3 linked regions of the Oryctolagus cuniculus genome follow. The protein of the gene in region 3 binds, or shares a complex with, the protein of the main gene of each other region. Links are inferred from orthologs where the notes say so. Each region holds a gene or a part of one and is shown on either strand. Other genes may lie near its edges. The genes, in order: TMEM30A, TMEM30B and ATP8B1.

The links.
Region 1: the proteins of ATP8B1 (region 3) and TMEM30A are in contact, whole or in part, in a cryo-EM structure (PDB 7VGI), measured with the Homo sapiens proteins. The link is inferred for Oryctolagus cuniculus from reciprocal best matches to the Homo sapiens genes ATP8B1 and TMEM30A. Residues at the interface, in NP_001361314.1 of Homo sapiens: Thr138, His359, Trp362, Glu363, Val366, Ser369, Ser370, Trp371, Tyr372, Leu373, Tyr374, Asp375, Gly376, Arg384, Ile388, Phe418, Asn420, Trp421, Asp422, Leu423, Tyr426, Lys430, Asp431, Thr432, Pro433, His939, Trp942, Arg946, Tyr968, Phe971; in NP_060717.1 of Homo sapiens: Lys24, Thr25, Arg26, Arg27, Pro28, Asn30, Phe33, Lys34, Gln35, Gln36, Arg37, Leu38, Pro39, Ala40, Trp41, Gln42, Pro43, Ile44, Leu45, Thr46, Ala47, Val50, Phe54, Ile57, Phe61, Ile64, Ile68, Ile75, Phe119, Tyr121.
Region 2: the proteins of ATP8B1 (region 3) and TMEM30B are in contact, whole or in part, in a cryo-EM structure (PDB 7VGH), measured with the Homo sapiens proteins. The link is inferred for Oryctolagus cuniculus from reciprocal best matches to the Homo sapiens genes ATP8B1 and TMEM30B. Residues at the interface, in NP_001361314.1 of Homo sapiens: Trp362, Val366, Ser369, Ser370, Trp371, Tyr372, Leu373, Tyr374, Asp375, Gly376, Phe418, Trp421, Asp422, Leu423, Tyr426, Asp431, Pro433, His939, Trp942, Arg946, Tyr968, Phe971, Asn972, Gly973, Ser975, Ala976, Gln977, Leu1003, Gln1005, Phe1049; in NP_001017970.1 of Homo sapiens: Gly9, Ala10, His11, Gln12, Pro13, Asn15, Phe18, Thr19, Gln20, Gln21, Arg22, Leu23, Pro24, Ala25, Trp26, Gln27, Pro28, Leu30, Ser31, Ala32, Ala35, Leu38, Phe39, Phe46, Leu49, Leu53, Tyr109, Tyr111, Asn116, Phe117.

The regions. Positions count from the first base shown.
Region 1 is NC_091436.1:97,193,305-97,198,629, reverse strand, and holds the start of TMEM30A (cell cycle control protein 50A), read right to left. Parts: upstream 3,381-5,325; 5' UTR 3,011-3,380; coding exon 2,774-3,010; intron 2,658-2,773; exon of another isoform or gene 2,522-2,657; intron 1-2,521. UniProt on the Homo sapiens protein: Accessory component of a P4-ATPase flippase complex which catalyzes the hydrolysis of ATP coupled to the transport of aminophospholipids from the outer to the inner leaflet of various membranes and ensures the maintenance of asymmetric distribution of phospholipids.
Region 2 is NC_091451.1:9,305,499-9,310,838, reverse strand, and holds TMEM30B (cell cycle control protein 50B), read right to left. Parts: upstream 3,440-5,340; 5' UTR 3,284-3,439; coding exon 2,222-3,283; 3' UTR 831-2,221; downstream 1-830. UniProt on the Homo sapiens protein: Accessory component of a P4-ATPase flippase complex which catalyzes the hydrolysis of ATP coupled to the transport of aminophospholipids from the outer to the inner leaflet of various membranes and ensures the maintenance of asymmetric distribution of phospholipids.
Region 3 is NC_091441.1:20,523,463-20,529,033, forward strand, and holds the start of ATP8B1 (phospholipid-transporting ATPase IC), read left to right. Parts: upstream 1-2,138; 5' UTR 2,139-2,434; intron 2,435-5,571. UniProt on the Homo sapiens protein: Catalytic component of a P4-ATPase flippase complex which catalyzes the hydrolysis of ATP coupled to the transport of phospholipids, in particular phosphatidylcholines (PC), from the outer to the inner leaflet of the plasma membrane.

The sequences.
Region 1 (5,325 bases), on a different chromosome or scaffold from region 3:
ATAAAATCCAAGTTTAAAATACACATACACACACACACACACACACACACACATATATATATGGATTCTATGTGCAAAACTGTATTTCAGTGTTGACACAAAACTCCCAATTATTCCTGGTAGTCATTTCCTGTGGTTCCAAAGGCAATTCAATATGAATACGCAGCATTTTTTACACCACATTTAAGTTGGAAGTCATAGAATTTTAGAGTTTGATAGCATTTAGAGATTATCTATTCTGAATCTTTTGGTTCTTCAAGCAAAGGAGAAACTCTATATATATATACCAGACCCCTTAACCAGAATTGCTTCTAGTTCTCATATCTTAGGAAACATGCATTATTCTACTTATTTTACAGATGAGGAAACTCAGGCTCAAAAACATGCCTAAGATCATAGTCTACAGAGTGACAGAGCTAGAATTTTAATTCTAATGCCCTGACCCTTAAGTTCAGTGCCCTTTAACCACATAAAGCTGCAGTCTAATCCTTCAGGTAACTTGCAATCAGAATTGTATATGAGAACTATTTAAGAAATTTCCATTTCACCCACTACTTAATTTGAAGAATCTTATTTCAGAACCCAAAAATTTTAAACATAAATGTTTATTTTCACAGCAAATATTAAGAGCACTTGAATTCTGATAATTTAGTAAATACTAATATACAATTCTAAAGTACTGCTACTTCTTCCATCTTATGTTTAAATAAGATGATTTAAATTTCTAAAGTTAAATATTTTCTATTTTACTAAAATTGCAGTAAGCCTCCTAGTGCTGGGTGAAGGCTTAAAGCCAGATTCTGTCTCAATTCTGCAATAGTTTTAATAAGTCTACTGCAAAATCTAAACCTTTCTGATTCTATTTCTAATCTCATGATTAACTTAGATCATCATAATTTATTGCCAGACATTTTTTCTAAATTGCTTCTAGTTTTCATATCTTAGGGGATACATATTATTCTATTTATTTTATAGATGAGGAAACCAAGGCTCCGAAACACTAAGTTTTTCAAGAAACTAAGCTAGTTAGTAGCTGAGTTGGAATTTAAATACACCTCTGCCTTGGCCCCAGCTGGAGCCCACAGTCCTTGCATTATACCACTTTGCTCAAAGTCTAATATTATTTGATTGGGAAGACAAGAGGTACTATATTTGCAAGAGGTACTATTCAGGAGGTAAAAAGGATTGGAGCAGGAATTGTGCAACTGGTTCAGCCACCACTTGAGATACCCCCAACCCACATCAGAGTTTCCTGCTATTGCTCAACCTGGGAGGCAGCATCTGTAAGTACTTGGGTTCATTCCACGTATGTGGGAGACCTGGCTGGAGTTCCTGTGGCACCCGGGAATGAACAAGGTGATCAAAAATATCTACCGACATCTCTTCCCCTCTACCTGTTTCTCCCCTCTACCTGTTTCTCCTCAGTCTCTGTCACTCTGCCTCTCAAATCTTTTTTTAATGATAAATTAAAAATACACACTGAAAAAATATACTGTGACACTTTCCCTAATTATTAAGTTGAAAATTAATTTTTGGTAAAAGATTGTAAAACTAGCTATACCATAGGTACTATTCTTATTACTGTTCTTAGTACTATATACCCATACAATTAAAAAGTATATCAATTGGGTTTTGGAAATAACACAGTAAAGTTGAAAATAAGCACTTCTATTCCTAATTCAGTAGCAAAAATAAAATTACTCCTAAAGTAATCATTAAATCAAATACATAAAGAGATTTTTAAAAAGTGAGCATATATTTGTGTGAAAGAGAGAGCATAAGAAACCAAAAATGTTGCTTCTAGTTCCAGACTTCTCAAACAGATAAAAACACCCTGAGCAAGAAAAAAGGATTAACTGATGTTTAACACTGTACATTACACAGTATTTACACTCTATCAACCTATCTTTGTCATTGCAGGTGGATAAAGATTAGGAGATTGTGACTCTTTAAGGTCTGAAAGCTTCCACAACACAAGTTCTTCTGTGGTCTTACATAAGTAAAATAAGTAAAAATGTGCAGTGAAATTAATGAATATAATTTTTGGTAGACAGTTTACAATGCATTCCCTGTGTAAGTTTAAGATATACTGGGGTTGAGTGAGTGTGGTGGTGGTGGGGGAACCCTAGGGTGAATGTAGGGCATAATTACCAAGAAACTCAGCCTAAAAGTAAAAGCAGAACTGAAGTTGTACGTTTTTACTTGTATCATATCCTACAGCTAAAAAACATCTAATTAGTTCACAACGAAAGCCCTGAGCACACTGGTCATGTGTCCTAATACTGGTAATACATGACTTAACCACTTTACATAAGAAGCATTAGCACCTCTATGACTCGGTCCTTCACCCAGCAACAATCGCAGCATCCCGGCATGACCCTCGCACAGGTAATGACACACTGACCCTGTCAGTTCCCTCGGAATTACATCTAGAGGGAGCTTCTTTTTTCTCCACCTTTTCACGTCTCAGAACCACGTCCTGGATCCCCACCGAAACACACACACTGCCCAGGAAAGAAGCGTTCTTCAACCCGACCCACCTTCGGCATTAAACATTCATTCCGTCTCTGACCGTGGAAACCGTAGGTAGAAGTAGGACAAAAGTGCAAATTCAGGAAAGCCGCAGAACCAGAAAGAAGAAACTGAGCAGAGGAAAGGTGAGCGGGAGGGCGGGCCCGCCTGTCAACCCCAGCGAGCCGGGGGAGAGGGGCGCGGGCGCCGCAGCCCCGGGTCCCCAGCAAAGCTAGCTCCCACCGCCGCGCCCTCCCCTCACCTCGATCTCGCGGATGTTGTTGGAGGTGACGAAAATGCCGATGCCAATGGGGATGAAGATGAGGCCGATGATGAAGAAGGTAGGAAGCACCGTGCCAGCCGTCAGGATGGGCTGCCAAGCGGGCAGCCGTTGCTGTTTGAAGGCCGTGTTATCCGGTCTCCGGGTCTTAGCGGTGCCCCCAGGGGGACACGGGGGCCCACCGTCCACTTCATCCTTCGCGTTATAGTTCATCGCCATCGAGCCCCGCGGCGCGGATCCGCGACGCGCAGGTGGACAGTCCAGGGGACCCGCCTGCTGACCCTGACAGGAGACGCGCAGGCGCCGCCGCCACCGCCGCCGCCGCACAGGCGGAAGAGGCGGGACACTCTTCCGCAGACAGCCGCTGACCGGAAGCGAGGGACGGCTGAAGACACCAGAGGGAGGGAGAGAGGAAGGAGGGAGAAGAGTGAGGGACAAGGGGAGGGGAAAGGGGAGGACGATAGAAGGGGGAGGGAAAAGGCGGACGCACCCTGATCATCTGCCCTGTGACGACAAAGTGAGGGGCTCAACCCCCAGAGCGCGAGGTTACGTGGACGCATGCGCCGCCCGGGGGCGACGGGGTCTCGGCGCCTGCGCCATAGGTGCGTTTCCGCCCACTCGCCGACGCTTCTGTTTGCTCACACCTCCGGTTATCATGGCGACAACTACTGGGTTGGCGTGAGCCGCCGGCACCCCTGGAGCGGCTGACCAAGACTTCTTTCTGGTGGTTTCAGCGCGGGACAGGGTTTTCTTTTCACCTTAATGCCTTTTAGAAGGATTTTGAGCCTGGTGGAATTTGGCAGTATTTACTCCGGTTATATAAAACTTCTTTAGTTAAAATAAGTCCCCCCCCCCGGGGGGGGTACACGTGTAACTTTGAGATGCGTAAAGCATTACTCTTTTTTCTTCAAGAATGAATAACGCGCGATGACCTTGTGGCCTAGCGGGTTAAGCCGCCTGAGTTGGAGTCCCTGTTGCTGTGCTTTGGATCCAGCTCCCTGCAGATGCGCCTGAGAGGCAGCAGATGATGGCCCAGTACTTGGCCTTTGCCATCCATGTGGGAGACCCAGAGAGTGAGTGTCAGGCTCCTCTCTTCAGTCTGGCACAGAACCAAGTGTTGTGGGCATTTGAGAAGTAAACCAGCAGATGGAGTCAATTGCTCACCCCCACCCCCGTCTCTGTGTTGCTCTGACTTTCAAAAAAATTTTCTTGAGACTTACTTATTTGAAAGAGACAAATAGAAGGCGAGACAGATCTTCAAAATGGCCCCAACCACCAGGGTAGGTCCAGGCTGAAGCCAGGAGCTTCATCCAGGTCTCCCACATGGATACAGGGACCCAAGCACTTGGGCCATCTTCTGCTGCTTTCATAGGCTCATGTAGCAGGGAACTGGGTTGGAAGTGGAGCATCCTGAACTCCAACCTGACCCATATGGGATGCCAACGCTGCAAACATGGTTTTAACCCACTGCACCACAGCCCTCGTCCCATCTGCCTTTCAGATTACAATTGTTTGATGGCCAGCGCCATGGCTCACTAGGCTAATCCTCCACCTGCAGCGCTGGCACACCGGGTTCTAGTCCCGGTCAGGGCACCGGATTCTGTCCCGGTTGCCCCTCTTCCAGGCCAGCTCTCTGCTGTGGCCTGGGAGTGCAGTGAAGGGTGGCCCAGGTCCTTGGGCCCTCCACCCGCATGGGAGACCAGGAGGAAGCACCTGGCTCCTGGCTTCAGATCAGCGCCATGCGCCGGTCGTAGCGGCCATTTGCGGGGTGAACAAACGGAAGGAGGACCTTTCTCTCTGTCTCTCTCACTGTCTAACTCTGCCTGTCAAAAGTCAATGTGACTTGAATAATCATGTTATCTTACCTCCGTGATTTTTATTTTGCCTCCAAATTTGGTTCCAAGTTACTTTTCCCTTTTTTTGTGTGTTCCTTTGCATGTTAATTTAGTAGTGTTTTGTAGTTAACTATGGAAGTTTTATTTTTGTTTTACTGTTGATAAAGACCAGAACATACTCCTATAGTATTACAGTAAAATGGAATACTACCATGTAGATATTTTTAAACTGCCAAGTTTTTACTGATTCAAAGAAATACTCAAAAGTGACTAAACCGGGATGCCAAGCATAGGAACCGTACAAATAGCCAAACTAAAAAGTTATTAATGACTTTCACTTTTGACTGAAAATAGTGACTTTGTCTCTATGGAGAAATTTTTTTCTCTGTTGCTTTGCATTTTTCTGTACTTTCCAAAATTCATACAATAAGCTATATTATTTGTAAAATTTTTTAAAGTTACACACAGTCCACATTATACTGACATTTGTGAAATCCAGAGATTAAGTCACATCATCTGAACCACCCAAACTTTATTTATTTATTTATTATGGCTATGTCAGCAGTTAATGCCTTTTGGAGGCTAAATCAGGGAAAGGGAAATTAAAAATTGCTTGGTCCTCATAATTTCCAATTAAATTTTCAAAATGATCACAAGTTTCAAGAATACAAGGCAGTCAAATATTTATTAATATTTAGA
Region 2 (5,340 bases), on a different chromosome or scaffold from region 3:
ATTTCGGTGGACTCATTTACAATTTTGTAGCACTAGAGTGACTACGGCAAAAGGGAGGATATTTCCAAAAGCTCACTGCAAAATGTACTTAAAGCATATTTTGATGAAAAGTGATTGAATCCATGCAGAGTTTTTTCATAATACGCGTTTTCCATGAACTGGTCGAAGACCCTCATACATGGCTGCTCCCAAGACATCTTAAGAAATGAGACCAACTCCCACCCCGACCGAGCAGGGCTGGGCTAGTGAGCTGCTCAGGGAGACAGTCATAACAAAAATCATTCTATGTACATGATGATGGTTTCGCAGCCTAAAACCATCATTCACAATTTCATGATAAAAGTGTATTGCGTTCCAGAGTTGGGAAGCCAGCATCCTGGAATGACGAAAGTACTTTTGGTGTACCCATAAGTAAGGGGACAGGATCCCTTGAATCACTACTGTCTCAGAAGTGCTGAGACGGAGACCTGAGATAAACACGTTGTCCAGTGGTAATTTTCAAAGAAGCTAGAGTAAAACAAAAAGAATGTAAAGTACTCAGTACAACTCAACATTTCTCCAACTACAAAAAAAAAAAAAAAAAAAAAAAACTTAGTTCAAGATCTTTCCCTGCCTTAAAGGAGTGAACACACACAGCAGTAATTAGAAAGTAGCTGTGACAGACACCAGGCACCAAGGAATTCTGACAAATGCCAAATAACAGCTTTCAGCTAATAAACTGGGAAGATGATATCATAGAGTTTTTTTTAAAGTTATTTTAACTTATTTTGTTGCCACAAAGAGGAAGTCTTAAAAATATTCTATTGCTTTTCAGAATAACTTCATACATATTGTATACACATTGATTTTAATCAACAAAAAATCAACTGAGTTTAATCAAGAGTTTTTAACATCATGTCAAAGACACCCCCCCAAAATAAAATCTTAAGAGATTCTAGCTTGCACATAAGATTTTCCTTAGTATTCATTCAAAGAGGATTACTAGACACAAATGTTTCATTTGAGGACATGCATTCTAAAGTTTCAGTTTTTTTTTTTTTTCCCAGATCCAAGGAAGAAGGTATTAATTAATGAAATTCTTTCTCTCCAGGCATTAAAAAAAAAAAAAAAAAGCAGATGAGAAAGAGGGGTGAGCCAGGAGTCAGAAGAAATACATGTGACTTTTGATACTTTCCCACTAGGATCCCTCCGTTACCTGATTCGAAGGTTCAGACAGTCCCCAGAGCCCCCACAGACTGGCCCAGCAGCGTCAAGTTTCCGCACAGTACCTGCAAAGTTTAACTTCTGCACTCAACTATCCAACGAATTTCCTTGCCCTGCAACTCTGAATCCCAGCTACTTCTAGAGAGCGCATTCTTCCCCATTCACTCCAGAAACCATGGGGCAGGGGCCTCTCTCTAGTCAAGGCATTGCTAAACCTAATCTGCAGTATTATGACCGTCACTGTCCTGAAAAAACCAAACTCAGGAGACTGCTTCAGGCCCTAGGCAGGCAGGGACTGGATTCCCAGTCTGAGGGAGCAGAGGCCTCCATGGGGAGCCTGCTAATAATACTGCTCCAGGGTCTCCCCGCGCAGCCTGGCAGGGTCAGAGTCTCGGCCGCTGCTGGTGCCTCCCCATCTACTTAACATTTCTAGCAAGTACTAGGGGATTTCAAAAGCGTTCGTGGAGAACGGAATTAAAAGGTAAGCTTCCTTTAGTGCAAAACATCGTTTGAAATCCATGAGCGCTTGGAAGACCGCTCTGGGCATGGACTTCAAACTCCTTGTGCACCAAAACAACCTTATCTTTTCATGTCATTTTTCCCACGGACTCTTCTGAGTACCCTGGAGTATCCCCCTCTCCGTGTCTCTACAGGGGCTGCGTGGACCTGGCCTACCCCAACCCCCACACCCACCACGACACCCTTCCCAAAGCTCCCAGAGCGCTCTCCGCCTGATCCACCACGAGCTACTTAAACACGGCCAGGTCTCTCAGTCCCTCCACGCGGGAGGCGGTCGGATGCGAGACCCTACTGTCCCTGGAACTCTTCAAGCCTGCCAACACGTCAGCTGGAGAGGCGGCGATGGAGGTGGGGAAGTGGCAAGGCTGTGTCTCCGCTCCGCAGGTGCACCCAGCACCCCCCCCCCACGAGGCACAGGGGGTCCTCCCCGTGCCCTCCCACGCCGTCCTCGACGCCCCAGGAGGCAGGGGAAGGCGGAGGGCGTCCCTGGGGCCAGCCATCACTCGTCGTCGTCGTCGTCGTCCGTCTGGTCCTGGTAGCGAATGTACACGACCAGCATGGCGAAGCCCACGAGGATGCAGAGGGCGCCGACCACAAGGTAGGCGATGCCCAGGAAGGGGTTCTTGCCGCCCATCCACGAGATGTTGCTGAAGATGAGCAGCTTGTGGCCGCCGAAGGCGCGCACCGGGTAGTTGTAGGAGATGTTGACGCGGTAAGCGCCGCGGGGCAGCCCCGCCGAGTAGTCGCCCTGGCGGATGCGCGCGTACAGCTTGCGGAAGGTGGGCAGCGCCGCCGTGCGCATCCACACCACGAAGTCCTGGTTGACGAAGCCCGTGTTGTTGGGGTCGGCGCTCAGCTCGTAGACCGGCCGGGGCCAGTTGGGCGGCGGCGCCGTGCCGCGGAAGGCCAGCGCCAGGCTGCCGTTCACCAGCGGCGGGTTGCGGAACTTGACGTGGTAGTCGGTCCACCAGGCGATGGCGGCGCGGTCCAGCGGCACCTCGACGTAGGGCCCGGCCGGCTGGTGCTGGTGCCACAGCGAGAAGGTGTCGTTGAAGAGGCTGTTGGCGATGGCGCCGCAGGGCGCGATGGGCAGCCCGGTGGCGCTGCGCTGGTACGGGGCGCACTCGTTGGCCGGCTGGCGCAGCGCGCTCGGCAGCCCGCTCAGCTGCGCGTCGTCGCGGGACACGCCGTAGCGCCGGTTGTTCTGGTAGAAGCTGGACAGCTCGTAGTAGAGGTACACGGGCCCCGGGAAGAGCTCGTGCAGCGAGAAGTACCAGGCGCACGAGCAGGGCGGCGGCGGCGCGCGGCCCTGGCCCTCGGCGGCGCACACGGAGCAGTTGCTCGAGCCCGCGTCGCCCGTGTAGTCATGCTCGAGCTCCACGATGCCGTTGGAGGAGTAGTAGAGGCCCAGGCCCAGGCCGATGAAGGCCAGGCCGGCGCAGAAGAAGAGCGGCAGCGTGATGCTGGCCGACAGCAGCGGCTGCCACGCGGGGAGGCGCTGCTGCGTGAACGCCGTGTTGTCCGGCTGGTGGGCGCCGCGGGCCGTGGCGCTCCACGTCATGGCGGACGGTCCCCCTCCGCACCCCGCCCCGCCCCGGGGGTCGCCGTCCCCGAGCCCTCGGGCCCCCGCCTCCTGCACAGGTGCGTCGGAGCCCCGGGCTCTGCGGCCGGCTCCGGGACGCCTGAGTTCCGCCTCCGCCCAGGTGCGCGGCGCCGGCTCCGCCCCTCGCGGGAGCCCGGGCCGCGCCCCGCCTCTTCCGAGGGGAGCCGGGCAGGTGTCGCGGCCTCACCTGGCGGCGGGCGCGGGCTCGGCTGACCCGCGCGGTCCCGGCCGCTCCTGGCGCCAGCTCCTCCCCCTCCAGGTGAGTGGCGGCTCAGGCTGTCTCCGAGTGGCTCACACCTTGCTCAGGTCCCCTCCGCCCCCTAACCCTTCCGCCTTCCCAGAGACTCGAGGGCCCGGATCCAGCCGCACCTGCAGCTCCGGCGCTGCAGCCTACCAGCGGGAAGCGTCCCCGGGAGCGTGCCCCGTGGGTCCCGGGGGCTTGAAGGGTTCGCGCGGTTACTGCATTCTCTGTCGCTTCGGACGCAGGTGAGTTGAGACCTGCTTGTCTTTGTAGATTCACTGCTGGATTTCGTTTCAGTCCGCTTTCACTGAAATGCACAGAAAATGACACCATTTCGAATTCAACACCTGCGTCCGAACTCCTGGTGTATTTATTTTTAATAATGGAAAATGGTTTTCTGGGCGGATGCCCCAGTCTTACAGCTAAGAAAGGTGAAAAGTTCTCTAAAAATAAAATGACCCTTAGAGGGAGAAGGAGAGAGGGAGGGGGAGGGAGAATAAAAAACTGGAGAGACCCACAGCATTTAAATGTCTCATTAGCTGGTAGAGACGCCAGGCAGGGAAAAAATGGGGTGAACTACAGGGGATTTTTTTTCTTTTCTTTTTTTTTTTTTTCAGGGTCTTTGCCTTGCTGGAGAAAGGCCCAATCCAGGGTTCCTGGAAACTGTTGCTGTCTGTAAGGGAATTTGTTTGGAATAGCGGACCACAAAGGCTTATAAAGAACTCAAATTAGTCTGCCCGTTGAGGGAGATGCTGGCTTTTGTTCTAGCTTTGAGGTTATCTCATGAAGTTCGGAAATAAACAGAATTGAAAGATAAGTTTATTTTAGTAAAAGAAAATTTTGAAACCCATGCATAGCTTTTTCGTAGTCTGCGTTTTCCATCAACTTTTTAAAAAGATTTATTTATTTATTTGAGAGGAAGAATTTACAGTGAGAGAGGGAGAGATAGAGAAAGAGAGGTCTTCCATCTGCTGGTTCACTCCCCAGATGGCCCAAACAGATGGGTCTGGGCCAGGCCGAAGCCAGGAGTTTCATCCGGGTCTCTCACACTGGTTCAGGAGCCTAAACACTTGGGCCATCTTCTGCTGCTTTTCCCAGGCACATTAACAGGAAGCTGGATCAGAAGAGGAGCAGCTGGGACATGAACCAGAGCCCACATGGGATGCCCGTGTTGCAGGTGGTGGCTTAACCTGCTATGTCATAACATTGGCTCTCAAAATAAACTTTTATTTCTATTTTCTACAAATGCCTTGAAGTGCTCTTATACACGAGAGTGTACCTTGGGGACCATTTCATTTGTGTTAAATCCTCAGTAGGTATTGAGGTGTTCTTGCCTCTTCCAGCTCATAAAATGCAAGTGATTTAAATGTCTTCTCTGTTACACTTCAGCATCTAGCGTAAGGTACCACATGCATTGCCTTCAAAACCCATGGAGGGGCCGGCGCCATGGCTCACTTGGTTAATCCTCCACCTGTGGCGCTGGCATCCCCTATGGGCACCGGGTTCTGGTCCCAGTTGCTCCTCTTCCAGTCCAGCTCTCTGCTGTGGCCCCGGGAGGGCAGTGGAGGATGGCACAAGTGCTTGGACCCTGCACCCGCATGGGAGACCGGTAGGAAGTACCCGGCTCCTGGCTTCAGGTTGGCGCAGTGCCGGCTATGGCAGCCATTTGGGGGGTGAACCAACGGAAGGAAGACCTTTCTCTCTGTCTCTGTCTCTCACTGTCTAACTCTGCCTGTCAAATAAAAAAAATTTAAAAAATTAAAAAAATGGAAAC
Region 3 (5,571 bases):
GGCGTTAACCCACTGCGTCACAGCGCAGGCCCCCAGGTTGATGAAATCTTACCTATACATGCACTCTGAGAACCACCACCCAGATCAACATGTAGAACATTCATAGACCTCCCCCGCCCCATGCCACCCCAGAAGCTTCCTTCAGCCCCTATCCTACCCCACAGGAGTCTTTTCTGCTTTCTCCAAGCCTGTGTCACCTTGGAGGACACAATTTGCTTCCTTGGTTCACTGATGCACACAACCAACTAGAACAGTGCCTGATACACAGTGGGTACTCCCTGAATATTTACTGAGTGAATACATCTTTGAATCAATACTCATTGTGCCCAGTGTCCACTCTGCCCCTTCCAAGTGGCCTGCAATAGAAGAAGAGAAACTTTGGTGTCTGCATAGGGTTGTTGAATGCAGCCATTGGAACAGTATTCATCAGATCTGGGTACGGTGTGCCCTGGTGCCATCTTTTCTATGCAGCATTTCCTTGTACAGATTGATCCTTTGGGATCTGCAAGAAGCGGGGGATCCCTCCTGGACCCTGGAGTCCTCTCTAGATCACTAGGTTTGCTACCATTTCTCCTGATAGGGGCTGAGCCCTCCTAACTGATTTTTCTCCTTTCGACTCTGCAATCCCGATCAAGCTGTCACCCTCAGGACCTTGGCTGGTCCTGCATGCTTCTCTCTGCAAATGAGCTGCAGGTTCTGGTCCCTCTGTGCTCTGACCGCTTTTCTCCAAGATGTCCTTTGAATCTCGACCATTTCTGGCGACCTCTTCTGTTGTGGTACTTGCCTCCCAGGCCAGACCTCTGTCTTCTCTCTTCTCTTCTTCCAACCATCCTAATACCTTCCCCAAAACACATCCTTGATCATGTCACTGCTGTGTTCAGAAACGTTCAGTGGTTTGCAAGAACTACCAAGAGAAGTCCAAACTCCCAAGCCTTGCATTCGAGGGCTCTAGCCTCTTAATGCCCTGCGGGAGGCTGGTTTACTGACCACGTTGTCACTAAGCAGGCCCTAGGTTTCCGTGTCTCAGAGGCTTTGCTCTGTCACTAGTTCAGAAGATAACGCTAGAGGGAACCATTGGCGACCATCTAGTCCGCTCTCATGTTTACAGAGGAGGCAACTGAGGCCCGTGCAGATTAAATGCCTGGTCTGCACCACGAAGGTGCCTAAAGAATTGGAAATCCGGGGTACCTGGGATTGGCAGTATCAGTGGGGTTTTTGATAGGCTTGAAGATCGAATCACAAGGCCCCTCTTTGAATTTCTCCTCGAGACAACTCCGATCCTGTAGATGGGGCATCATCCGTCCTCAGCCCCTGCGCAGACTCCTGCATGATGACTCTGCTCTGATCTGCAGGTCGTCGGGCACTTGTCCAGGAGTTCTATGTCCCCTGTTGCATTGTTAGCAAACATGTAGGCCTTTGACTTTGCTCCATTCCGATCCCTGTGACTTGTCCACAACAGGTGAGCCAGAAACGCGCAAAATGTTCAACAGCAGCGCATAGTTCACATGTGGCCCTGGAAGTCCTTTTCTCCCTAAAGCTATAAACACGCACGAGTTTGGGCTCCGCAGAGGATAAAAGTTTCTCGAAGTCTCTGGGTGCTGTTTTTCTCCCTACCCCCCGCGCGGGCAACCACGGCTCGCCTTCTGTGACTGGTCCCGAAACGTGACTTGGCACCGAGAGCGCACAGCTCTCCTTACCAAGGGAGCTCAGGTCCCGGGCGCGCCACGACCCCGCCAGCTTTCCGGCCAGGAGCTGTCTCCGACCCCAGGCTGCGGCCAACCCGGCAGAGGGCGGTGGGAAAGTGACGCCGGGCTGGTGGGGCGGGGTGAAGAGGCAGAGCCGCCGCAGCTGCCTGGTCGCCGGCTGGGCGAGGAGAGACCAGCGCTCGGGACACAGCGCGGGGTGCGCACCTGCCGCCGGGGCGCACCGAGGGCGGGAGGCCGGTCCCGGACCACAGAGGCGGGCCCGCCCTGGGGCTCGCCGTCCAGCCCTTCTCCGCCCCGGGGAGGGACCGGGGGAGGGCAGACGTCCGGGCCCGCCCCCAGCCCCAACCCCTGCCCCATCCACAGCCCCAGCCGCGCTTGGCGGCCGCGGCTGCCGGAGGGAGATGAGAGGCACCTCCCTGTAGCTGAGAAACCAGTTTGGCCGGTCCCGCGGAGCGGAGGGAAAAGGGCGGCCGCAGAGGAAGGGCGCGCGGACGCGAGGCGGGGAAGGCGGGGAGCCATTGGCGTACCGCGGGAGCCGGAGGAGCGGCCGCCAACTGGACACGCTGCCCGGGGCCCCCGGCCAGCCCCCGTGCGCCATGAGGCGCTAGCGCCGCGGCCAACGCTGGGGCCCGGCGGCAGGGAGGCGGCGGAGACGACCAGGTGCACAGCGAGCGCTCGGAGCAGGGCGCACCCGGCAGATGCCCCAGCCGGGGCCCAGCGAACGCCAGGTAAGGAGAGACGCGGCGTCGCGACCCCCAGAAACCTCCACCCCGATAGTCGGGCAGGGTCCAGTGGCCCCCGGACCAGTGGACTCCGGGGATCCGGAGGCAGCAGCTATCCGCGCGCTCCGCCTGCGGAGCCCCCACGGGTGGGATTGGAGTGGGGGTGCCCGGAACCTGCGCCGCTTCGGGGTCGGGAAGTCTCGGATGGCCGGGGCAGCGCTGTTGTGAGTTCGGTGGGAGTATCACCTGCCGGGAGGCGGGACCTCGCGGGAGGTGTTTGCGTGCTTGGTTGGTCTGCTACACGCTTGGCCGGGGTTAAGCCCGGAGGGGCCAAGCTGGGCTGGCGGTTCCCCTGGTCGGGGGGCGGGAGTGCTGCTGGCTTCCTTGCGGCGGCCACTGCCCCTCTGGAAGTCCTCTATGGCCGGGCTCTGCTGGGCCCCCCATTGGCAGCCTGTGCCAACGTGCCGGTAAAAGTCCTTACAGCCGCAGCACCTGACCACGGCCGCACCTGCGAGTAGGGATGGGGTGGGATCGGCCGTCCCCACCGCAGAGCCAGGCGCCGCCAGACACCCGGGCGCTTTAACCCAGGATGCGTGCGGGGAAGCTGGACTGTAGCTCCTGGCCGTCGCTCCCAACGCAGGCCGTCTCCCTCCCTGCCCGGGTTGATGTCCGTCGCTGTCACCTCGCCGTGAGCCTGCTGAGGACAATTTGCTGGGAGGAGGAAGGCTTTAACCCCCACTTCCCCACTTTGCTTCCTTCCCTAAAGCGAAAGGAAAGCCTGGAGCGTCCGCCCAGCTTCTCCGCGGGGGCCCCAGGGCCAGCACCGCTGTCAGTGGGGAGGACGGAGAGCAGCACGCGGCGGCTGGGGCTGGCTCGCAAAAGGACAGGGGACCGAGTCACATATGCTCCTGGGGAGCCCCCCACTCCCCAGCGGTGGTTTCCCTCGGCCTGCGTTCGCCGGCCGAGTCGGGGTCCAAGCGTTTGCTCCCACCTTCCTGGTTGCCTTGCCTTCGAAATTCTACACCCTGCTCACCACCCCCCACCCCCCACCCCAATCTCTGGCGAAGCGAGCCTGGCCACGCTAGTGAAATGCGTGAAGACCACCGGACACAGCATAGGTCCCTGACCAAGGGTCTCGCTTTGGGGAAGGAAACTAAAAATGATGCGTCCTCATAGTAGCTAATCCCAAGGCGGAGGGTTCTGATTCTGCATGGGTTAGGGAGTACTTGTGTGTGTGCCCATTGTGGCAGGCCTGATGAAGCGCTGCTTAAACACACAGACCGGGCGGAGATGAGGACCGCGTCCCAGGTGTTTGCTTTCCGGGGAGAAGTCTCGCCTGCCTGCAGCCTCTGACAGCTTTCTCCCCTGGTGGAGCTCCTTTAGTTTTAATTTTGAGTAGGAAAGCTTTCTCCTGCCTCGTTCATTTGTCGTTTTCCCCAAAGCACTTGGCCACGCTTCAGGAATTCTGAGGGATTCCTGGTATCAGTGATTAAGATACAAACCAGACTCAGGCGGCTCCTTCCTACCTGGTTCCCAGATGCCACCTGCGGGCATCCACCTGCGGCTCCTTTCCAGCTTGCCGTGTGGGTTTGGAGGATGGGAAAAGACGCACGCTGTGTGCCCTTCCCATGACTGCGGCAGGGGGAGCGGTGTGTGTTTTAAATCAGGGTTTTGAAATCATGACTTGGAGAAGCAAGTGGCTTTACAGAAAGAAGTGGTCCAGGGCAAGGCATGTTCAGGCCAGGTTGGGTGGATGTGGGACGTGGTTCTCAGTGTGGGTGTCAGCCCTGATGGAGCCCACCACCTGGCCTGCACGCTGTGTGGGGGGTTTCTTTGCTTTCTTCCATCCCTCCAGCCATTCTGCCTGCTCTTTCTCCTCCTCTTGAAGCCAGGAATAGTGAGAAACATTGGGGCGTGATTCCCACCATTTTCAGTTCTTTTTCTTACTGATTGAATCACCCTAGATGAATTCTCTTTTTTTTTTTTTTGTATGATTTATTCATTTATTTGAAAGGCAGAGTTACAGAGCGGCAGAGACAGAGAGAGAGAGGTCTTCTATCTGCTGGTTCACTTCCCAAATGGCGGCAACAGCCAGAGCTGGGCCGATCTGAAGCCAGGAGCTTCTTCCAGGTCTCCCACGTAAGTGTGGGGGCCCAAGCACTTGGGCCATCTTCCACTGCTGTTCCAGGCCGTAGCAGAGAGCTGGATGGGAAGTGGCACAGCTGAGTCTTGAACCTGTGCCCATATTGGATGCTGGCACAGCAGGCGGCAGCTTTACCTACTACGCCACAGCGCCTGCCCCACCCTGGATGAATTTTTAAAATGTCTGAGGAAGTCTCAGTTTGCTCGTTTGGGGGGACAGAAAGCTATCCTCAACCTCTTTGGATTGTTGAGAGAATTAAGTAAGAACGTCTATGTGTCCCTTCTCTGTAGTAGGTGTTTGAGTGTTGATTTCCTATTTTCTTTCCTAGGCTATTTTTGAAAGTAGTGCGATGTCCAGGTGTCTGGTATAATTTTCATATTCCATTGCCTCCCGAGTCTGAATTCTGCCTGAGTTTGTTGTAAGCCGCACTGGACAGGTTTTAATTTACCTGCTTTCCTTGGCTCCCTAGTTTCAACCATTGCCGATGAAAGCTGTGTGCTTGTGAATGGACAGCGACTTGCTTTTCAAGTACCAGAGCTAGTTTTATTGGGTCCATTCGTGTCCTGTTTCTCCAGAGAGAGGCACCTTTACAGTTAGTTTCTCAAGCACTTCGTTTTGGCATTTACTTCTAGATTGGTCTCCCGTGAAGTTTTTCTTTGTGGTGTTTTTGGGTGACTTGTGACTTTGCAGATCTGTTTGAGTGTTACCACCCAGTTGGATTACTTGTGTTCATGCCTGTAGGCCTTGTGTTACTTATTAAATGGAAATTAATTTGCTGCCAGAAGGGTTTTAATAACACAAAAAAGATGATAACTTATCTTCTTCACTCTGTTAAACAAGTTACTCCTGAATCCCCACTTCTGTGCGCAGATAAAAATAATACCCAATGTAAGACCTTTTGAGATCTCGTGAACCTGAAGAACTGGCGTGATGAAGACGCTAGAAAGCATATACTCATGTGTAGACACACACAAGGGCAGTGCAAAGGCGGGTTTATCTT